2 linked regions of the Neodiprion lecontei genome follow. The protein of the gene in region 1 binds, or shares a complex with, the protein of each later gene. Links are inferred from orthologs where the notes say so. Each region holds a gene or a part of one and is shown in the gene's direction. Other genes may lie near its edges.

What was found.
Region 2: the proteins of unextended protein (region 1) and PRL-1 phosphatase are in contact, whole or in part, in a crystal structure (PDB 8CT8), measured with the Drosophila melanogaster proteins. The link is inferred for Neodiprion lecontei from reciprocal best matches to the Drosophila melanogaster genes uex and PRL-1. Residues at the interface, in NP_001104390.2 of Drosophila melanogaster: Leu391, Val422, Thr423, Lys442, Cys445, Glu446, Gln449, Asn450, Pro451, Phe454, Phe456, Asp458, His480, Val482, Asn484, Gly488, Asp489, Pro490, Phe491, Tyr492; in NP_001260487.1 of Drosophila melanogaster: Asp32, Ile33, Thr34, Ile35, Asn36, His37, Asp77, Gly78, Cys109, Ala111, Leu113, Gly114, Arg115, Arg142, Arg143, Gly144, Ile146, Asn147, Gln150.

What each region holds. Positions count from the first base shown.
Region 1 is NC_060262.1:6,544,743-6,549,330, reverse strand, and holds the start of unextended protein, read left to right. Parts: upstream 1-1,558; 5' UTR 1,559-1,592; coding exon 1,593-2,068; intron 2,069-4,588. UniProt on the Drosophila melanogaster protein: Probable metal transporter. Acts downstream of PRL-1 and protects the nervous system against olfactory carbon dioxide stimulation.
Region 2 is NC_060261.1:13,155,006-13,159,810, forward strand, and holds the start of PRL-1 phosphatase, read left to right. Parts: upstream 1-1,791; 5' UTR 1,792-1,941; intron 1,942-4,805. UniProt on the Drosophila melanogaster protein: Probable phosphatase. Inhibits growth possibly by negatively regulating Src64B-induced growth. Regulates central nervous system circuit formation and stabilization of synapse-dense terminal arbors.

The sequences.
Region 1 (4,588 bases):
CCAACAAATATTCTCAAAGTTACGCACACATTTGCAAATATTGAAAAATAACATTTTATCCAAATGTAGCTGATTTTTCTTCGCAAGTTTTCATCACTTCTTTCGCATTAGCAGGGAGAATTGTGATACCCGCGGAAAATTCTTCGAGAATCTTGCCTTCGATTACAACATTTTTTTTTTTCATCAAAACGAATGGCTCTGTAGGTGATGAAATAATTCAATTCTCCGTCACTTAGAATAGAATTGATTTTCACATTACAGTGAGAAAGAACATATTTTTCGATCTGAAAATTTGAGTTCATCGGAGGATTGAGAGGCTTGATCTTCGGTGAATCCGGTCGTGAAGATATCGGTAACTTCGCTTCCCAGAGACAGTGTCAACCTTACACCGAAATATTACGATGCCAGATCGGATTTGGATTTCGGATCCATCCACTTTCTAGGCCAAATAGAAATGACCTGAACTGCGTTTGCCCTTCGGGTTGGATGTTGTGCAACTTTGATTGAAATGGTCAGTAAAATCTACGATCATCGATCGTCATCTTAAATGTTCTTCGGATCTCAACAGTTTGCATTAGCTTATTTTTGCCATCAAGATATGATTCTTGGAATCGCTGCGTGTTGACAATCTAGACTGTAAGAAATATATCATTACTTGCTTCAGCAGTAAAATATATTAGCTACTGTAAATTGAAATTTATGTCTGTACCATCCTTGAAAGTAGACAATAAGTGAGGAAATCGAATATTTTTTACAGCTACTAGCTGAAAAATAACTTTATAACGGCGTGATTTTCCGCAATAAAAATTTCACCTTAAACACGCTGAATCAACGAAATTATCTGATGCTTGAAGTAAGTTCATTTCTTTAAAGTTTGTAGAAACCAAACCGCAAACCAAATAACTCTACTTGCAAAAAAATAAATTCATGAAATCATCGGTTAGCGATAAATAAATTTCTGCCACCGATCCGTACTTACCACCACAGCAGATAATGTAGAACATATTTACCACATGAAATTGCTGCTGCGACGGTATAGAAATATGAGATATTTATTTACCTGAATTTATACTGAAAAATCGAGGTCCATTATTCGCGCACCGGACACCTGCAGAAATTCATGAACACTAACCGTCAATATCCCCTGAATTCGCGCCTTACCGAGCGAGCTGCATTACCATGGAAGTAACTCCGTCGGTAAGATTGGATTATCAGCAACTGGCGTCCGCCGGATAAGAATAAGATTTTCAAATCGCTGCGACTCTGAAACTATACACAGACACACGTTAATTCGTATCGCATCGCTATCGAGTAGTTCCAGCAATCAATCGCTTCGATCCAGTCGTCGTGTTTTGAACGTGGGCTTAACACGGCGATGATAATGACCACCGGCATCCTCGGTCAAAGGCGTCAAGGGTGGCCGGGCGTCAAGGGGCCGAGAGAGAGAGAGATAGGTAGACGGAATAGGTCGATGTTTTCTGGACGATGCGTAAAGGCCAGCTACGCAGGCGCACCGTCCGAAACGAAGGTTATAAGTATATGCGTTAATCCTTACCGAGGTGAAGTTGCTGCTCGTTACCCGTGTTCGCACGATGGCGCAAAATGTTATCAACTCGGGAGCTCGGACAACTTTTATTCTATTTATTACTATCGGAGTATTTCACTTAGCGAGCGGCAACGCGCTCGGAGTGTCCGGCAAGCCGGTTAGCATCGCCTCGGTGAAATTAGTCGACGAATCGTCGTTGCCGTCGGAGTTTTCGGTAGCAAATCCAAAGCCCGGTAATTCACTTTTCTATATTGAGGTTACTGGCGCCGGTATTACCGAAGATTTTCCCCTGGTGTTGTCACTCGACCAAAGTTACTGTGAGGTTAATTACAATGGGAATAACCAGCTACGTCAAGTGTCACTCGACCGTGATGGAACCCGTGCTATTTACGAGATCGACTATCAACAACCCGAACAATTTAAGGTTACGACCGTCTATTTTTGCCTCCAACGGAAATCACGCCTTCAACATGTTTGGGTTAACCTGGGCGCGGATTATTCCGTCATATTATACGACCGATCGTAAGTAAACATGCGCTTTATTTATTCTTCATCATAAATCGGCGAATGCCAATGTGGCATATCCACTCTCCGTCTCTCTTTCGTTTTATATCTCGTCGTCGTATTTTTCTTAGAAAAAAACCGCCGCTGCGTAGCGGGACATTCGATTTGTTAATTTCACGTTATACGCTACCACTCGTTTCATATCTCGGCTAGCTGTCGCCTCTCCATTTCCGACGAATATTCATCCATCGAGAGATTACAGACACTTATCAGCAGTTTATGCCGCTCCGAGTGTGGCTGCGATTAAACTGTTACGTTGGCAGTTTTGAATCAGTTTTAAAACCGATGACGCGAGTCAGTTTTTTTTTCTCCTCTTTTTCTACTCTTCGATCGTCGATTGTTCGTTTCAGAATCGAACCGCCGTGAATTACGTTTCCAATTGTCAAATTCGGCAGAGTTTAAAAATGCGTCACAGAACGTGACAATATCAAGCTTTATGAAAGTTGAACAGAATTTTATCCATCTGAATTCAATTGAGATTGTTTCAGTTATTTATCTTTTCGGAAATGTTGCTTTGTTGCTCCGTTGGTTGGATGAAAAAATCGTTTCTGATGTGTCAGGGCTGATTCACGATTTACGAGTAGATTCTTTAAAAATTGTCTGAAATCAATCTTCAATTATATTAATCATTAATTAACAAGTTATCAACAGCAACCTGCAATAATCATTTTGCATAATAAATGATTTTGTGACGAACGTGAAATTCATTCTTAGTACACAGTTTCTAGATGATTCGTTCCTGGACAAAACGATCTGATAAATATTTAAAAATTGGACTAATCGAATGTTTTTTTTCCATTCGAGGGTGTTATTATAAAGTTTGTTCTTCCGATATTCGTTCAATTAAATTCAAAACTTGTTTCACTTCGGTCACAGTTTTTTTTTAAAGCTTTGATTCATTTTCATTTTTCGTTCCCCATCTGACATAAAAACGTTGACGATGCATTAAGAGCTTCGTAGCTGTTTGAGATAAAGCTATAATTACGATTAGAATTTGGCCGTGATATTCGGTAGCAGCTCATGCGCGAGATGGAAACTCGATTTCCAATCAACATCAGCGACTGACAACAAATTCGAAGAAATGTAATCAGGACAACATCGGTCGGTCAAGAAGAAATCTGCAGCATAACACAACAAGAGGAGGCTACCAATCTCTCCCGAATTTATGTAACGCGCGTCTAATCCTGTAGAAATTTTTTTCACCCACGCTTATACCAAAAACGATGTAAATAAACGTCTCTGAGTATTGCATAACGTAACGTTTCGGATATTGCAAGTAACCTCAGAAATTTATCACGTCCCAACTTCGTTCTAACCATGGTATGGGCGGTTGATTCAAACGATGGTGTAAAAATCCTTGTTACGTTATTGTATCACCCATTGTTTATTTACGTGCAAGGAATATCCGAGTCGTCGATTATAAATATCGACCCGTAGACGTCAACGATGAGACAAATAACCATTAATATAGAGATTGTAGCGTGCATTCGTGGTCGCTGTTATATTCTTAACTTGTTTAATTGCGAAATCGAACGCCCCAGACTTGTTTTATTTGTAACTCAACATCTATCAACATCATCGTATATATGAATATTATGTACACGTTACTGCATTTCACGACGTATAAATGCATGGCTGCAACGCACGTGTTATAATCTAATACGATTTCAGTTTAACCAACAACGCGAATGAGCGAGAATTCTTCTTCATCGTTTCTCTGTGGCGCAGTAAACTCCCGGTATTAACGGTCCACTTCTTTTTTCTTTTTCTTCCTCCTCGTTCTCAACTTTGAGGCCACCCGTCGCCCAGTTCTACTTTACCGACCGAAATCACTATCCAGAAGGGGAAATTCTCCGTGCTGTTTGATGCAGCCAGACCAAGACTTTGGATCGATTTTCTGTTTCCCCCTCGATCGTTCACTCTGTAGAATAGAATTACTACGCAGCGTCTAGAGATATCTGGCCCAGAAAATGGAGGATAACAATTGTTACTTTCGTTGAAATGATTTCAGTAATTTTATTATGAATTAATTTATGGTCACGCCCATCGAGTAGAGATAAGCTGCAAAGTGCGAAGACGAAGCTTGCAATAATCGTACGTGGTGGTCGCATTAATTCACAATAAATGAGTGAGCTAGTGAATTTTAACGAATTTCCGAAGAAACTGAAATTTGAAATTCAAAGTTTTACATCTGTCTACGAAATTCTAACGAAATACTTGGCGTTACAGGCTTTGTATGCGTTTTCGGCTTTTAGTGAAAACTCGAGATGAATGAAATGTAATTTGTAACGAGAGATTGAATTTCTTCGTTCGGCACTTCGATTTTAATAGACGACAAATTAACGAATCTGAAAAAGGAAAATGTTTTCATTAAAGACTTCATTGAACGCCATCGACGATTCTTAAATAATAGCCAAACAGTAGGTTAATGTTTAATGAAGTAAGTAGATTAACCGAATTTCGATGAAACGTTGTGCA
Region 2 (4,805 bases), on another chromosome or scaffold:
TTGGGTACATGTTGGAAAATGGGTCCCACCGTACAAGGAGACAGAACGTATGTGCTCCCAATAATCTACCTATCTCTTTCTTACCTGCAGGACCATCGGAGTCCGATAAAAATTGAGATTGGCTACACGTGTGTTCTGCTTTCATTAGGCGTACTATAAAAAGTATAGAGAATGAACAGTCCATGCTCTATTTTGATAATCGATCCATCATTTTTGGAATTTTGATTGGTTCATCGAATTCGAACGCTCTGCAACCAATCGAATTATCTTCTCGGCATTTGAGTACAAAATAGCGGCTTAATAGCGTTTTTCACTGACTGCATTACGTGTGCAGTGAGTACAATTTTCCCAGCTTTCAACTAATCACATAAGCAAAACCCTAGGAAAATTGCACTCAATGTGCACCAAATGTAGCCAGTGAAAAGCGCTTCAAGTTTTCTACATCTTGTTCACGGAAAAAACGGCACAGCACTTGCCACAATTTTCTCTGATTCGGTTAGGTCCCGTTTACCGGAAGGCCTTATTTACTTCTTTTAAGCCGCCAAATGGGCCTTATAGTTGGCTAAACCTGGCTGAAGCCAGACGGAGAGCCCGTGTACATAATACGACTCACACGTGATTTGGAACATTTTATTATTAGTGATCGATGAAACAAGTTTGTTGTGTAGCTGTTATTAAATATGTTTACTATGCAATGACCGTGCAATATTCGAAGTGTTTCACCAATTCCATTTACAGAGCGTAGGGACCAAAGCGTATTTTACGCAGGGACCAAATTGTACGATTTGTACGATGATTTAGCACATCACTGAGTAGTTCGAGACCCCACTACGCCCAACCTGCGCGAAGTTGTGTCGTTTTCTCCGTGAACAATGTGTATACCTATACATAGAAACGTGGTCGGTACTTTGGTACCTTAGAGCATACATTACTGGACGTAGCTTCGTGCGTTAGACTTATAGAGATAGACTGCGCGGGCCGTCCACCGAGCTGAAGCCCTAATTAGAAAGAGAAACCAACAGCGTGATCCGATCTCTCACTCTAATCGGTGATGTGGCGGGGGAATAAGTACAAATATACCTCCCCGTTTGTGCTTATTGCTTTCACCGTCTGCCAGTTTCTCCTCACTCTTTCGACCGTGCAAGAAAGAGGTCAGCTCCCGCTGTTGCTTTCTCTTTTTAATTAGGGCCTCAGATCGGAGCACGGACCGCGCAGTCTATCTCTATACGTCTATGGTACAGAAAGTGTAGCGAAGGAGTGATAAAGAGGTATAACATTATGGTTATAATCTGTCTCTCTCGCTCTACACTTGATTGGCCGATACGCATCCCCTCAGCCAATCAAATGCAGAGTAAAAGAGACGGAAGAACTCGAATATATATTTTCTCTCTTCACCTCGGCCGCAATGTTTGCAAGGTCGATGGGATGGCACTTCCAGTAGTATATGTTCTAAAAATAAGGTTGGTACAGAGTAGGGATAACCAAAGGAGACAGTTTGATGATTTTTATTTCATTCCGCCATGTTCTAAGGGCATTCTGACGGCGCGAAAATTCGAATCAACATTGTAATCCCTACGCTATGACCATATTCTCAGGGCACTTTGACACACATACAAACATACATACGCGCAAAATGTTTGGAATCAATATAGCTTCCAATTACTCCTCTGTGACGTTATAAAATATTCATCTAAAATCCTGACATCGCCCTGCCGCCACGTCTCGCGCGCATCGATATTGGCGCATAGTGTATATCACACCAGACTCGTTGACTCATGGCCGTCGTCGGGTTGGTTCAGCCATTTTAGTTAGTTGTCCACGGGCTCTTTCGGCGTACGGTCGCGTGCGAGTTAATAGTATACGTTGTCAATTTTTCGAGTTTCGTTTTTAATAACGGACACCTTACCGTTCCTTCCATATTCAATGTGTATGGCTATTGAGGTGAGTACTAACCACCTGAACCATCCTCCTATCTTTCATTCTCTCTTTATTAGCCATTTTGCACCGTACACAACGTGCCGTGCAACAATTATTTTACGTACGATCTTGCATGTGTACAAACGCGTACACAAACACGCGCGCGCGCGCGCGCATGCATATATACTACAATACATATACAAAGCGTATTCGTATAAGTAGAAATCGATTTTACGCGTGCCGTCTTGTTCCTCTCCTTGCTGCTCTCATCGATGCACGCCGTGAAATCGAACGGAGCGAGTGGGTTTCTAAAATTCACAACGGTTTGTCTCGTCGCCAGCGTCCTGTCTCCCCCACGTATACAGCTCACGATAAAATCGCGTACGAATAAGTATTCACTCGTCCGTTCATTCGTCCTCGAATCGGGTTTTCCCCATTTTTTTCACCGGCAAACTCGTTCCCCCGCGGATAAGAAGCGGACGAATGGAGTTAGGGACAAACGCCTGCATCTGCACGTCCGTTTCGTTCGATCGTCGTTCATTGCCCTCCCTCGAGAGACGACCAGAGACGAGGAGCCCACTTTGTTTCTTTCCCCATTATATTCCGCCGTCTCGTCAGGCACAGCAAGCCTCGTCTTCCTACTCACACCTACATGCTATACGATTATTATATGTATAAATAGTTTGCGGTGTATTGGTTTCTCTGTACAAGCACACGGCCGACTGTTTAAAAGTTCATAGATAGTATTTTTCTTCTTTTTTCTCATACGTTGATACGATTATTGTGGTTTAAATTTATTATATCCTCTGATATAGTTTACACAAGAAATTCCCTGATGGCGGTAAATAACGCGACATGTAGTTTCTAAGCATCCAATGCACGTATACCTATGTCGTCATAATACATCATTGGATGCGTTGAAAAAACGAGGATGAAGTTAGTAACGTCAATGTAACAATGCATGTTTCGAAGAAATCGTTACTCCGCATCTTCAGGAACGTCTGAATTTTGATAAACCGTGATAAACAGAACATGCTCATATTTTTAAAAGCCAACTCCTGGAAAGACATCCAGATATTGCACCGTAACGATTTTTCCCCTGATGTTTCGTTACGTTAACGTTACTAACGATAAGTTCAGTCTCGTTGAAAAAAATTCTTTGTGGCATCGCCACATTTACAGACAACAGAATTCGGTGTGAGAATCAGACTGTAAACAACTACCCGAGGCAAACAGACGCGCATCGGTCGAATTGTCGTTTGTTTGAAAAACTCGTTGAAAAGCTATCGAAGACTATCTGTCGCTGCGTCTGTCTATAATTAATTCTAGTATTAAAATATATTAGTTCTGTAATATTTGTAACACAAAGAAATACTTGGTTTGATGTTTTCACCGGTTTCGCCACAAGCAATTATAAACACCTATTGCACTACGTAAATATTTGCTAGCGAAATTGCTGTTACTATTATTATTGTTGTTGTTATTATTGTTATTGTCACACTGAAATGTGCTGCAATGCCTTTAGGTATCGCAGTTAGAGTTGCCTGGGATTGCGCAATCGTTGAACGGTTATCGCTCGCCGGCCGGATAATCTATGTATCTTATATATTCTCGATTTCGACAATTGGAGGTACGCATGATAAATTCCTCTGGTATTTCCAATCAATCGTGATGATGCTATCGCAATCTGCCTTCTGTGAAACCGAGCCACTAGACCTAACAATTCTAATAAACTTTACGTTGCTGCTGTGCGGTTGTTCGACGAGGACGAACTTGACGCTCATCGAGATAAGAATAAACGAACGATAAGATTCAAGAACGATTGATCAGAGTTCGAAATTTGAAATCCAAAATCACGATTTTATCAACATTATGACGTAATATATTCTTTTTTGTACAGTAGAATTGTACTTCGATTCGAGGAAAAGGATAAATTGAATGGTTTAGTAAGTTTGTTCTGAATTTCACAGACGGAATAAGTAATTGAGTATTGAACGATTATCCACCGATATGCATAAAGCAATTGAGCATTGGGGTAATTAATATTGGTCGTTAATAGGACACATACAGAGTACTGTAACGGGGTTGCACGATATTTCCGGGTAACAAATAATCGAAACAATGAATGCCCGACGCATCGATTGGCTCTACCCTACCAATTGTTCTTATTCGGTTGTTGCCAACGATTATCATTGTTATTATTATGATTATTAATTGAGTGATTATTATGATGTTCGCTTTCATTCTGACGCACGTACCAACTCATTATCATCATTATTAATACTGTTGACACGCCTGGCATGTGCCGCCTAAATTCCGGATGGTATGTATGCGGCGACAGTACTGGACGTCGGTGTCGTGCTGCTGCATCAAGCAATAAACACCTGGGCGACTTACAGTGAGTTGGATTATACGTAGTAGAAACACTTTCCTGTCTGGCTGCCTTTGTGCCTTCTTACGGTGACGTAGGCATCGCCCTACCTGACTTTCCGTAGCTACGCAAGCTGGAATGTATTTTATCAATTATCTATCACGGCTTAAACTTATCGGCTAATTGTACATAGCTGCACTCTGGACGTAAAGCATTGAAATTACAAACGCTGAATCGAAGGCTTCGAAGTCGCGATTAACGTCAATTGACTTTAAGTTAATTAAAACTATGTCTTCTCGGGGTCGAAAAAATTGTTATACCCACAAATTTCGTGGAAAAACACTCGTGGCAAATGATTTCATAAGTATTATATTGTTACGAAAATTTGAGTTTCACATTTTAAATCCTGACTATAATTTTTTCATTTCTCACTTTACCAAAGTGGATTGTAAAATTCCTTGCAATGCCGTTTTATTAGAGAGTCTGTAGAGAGGAATAACAGTGTCATAAAAATTGA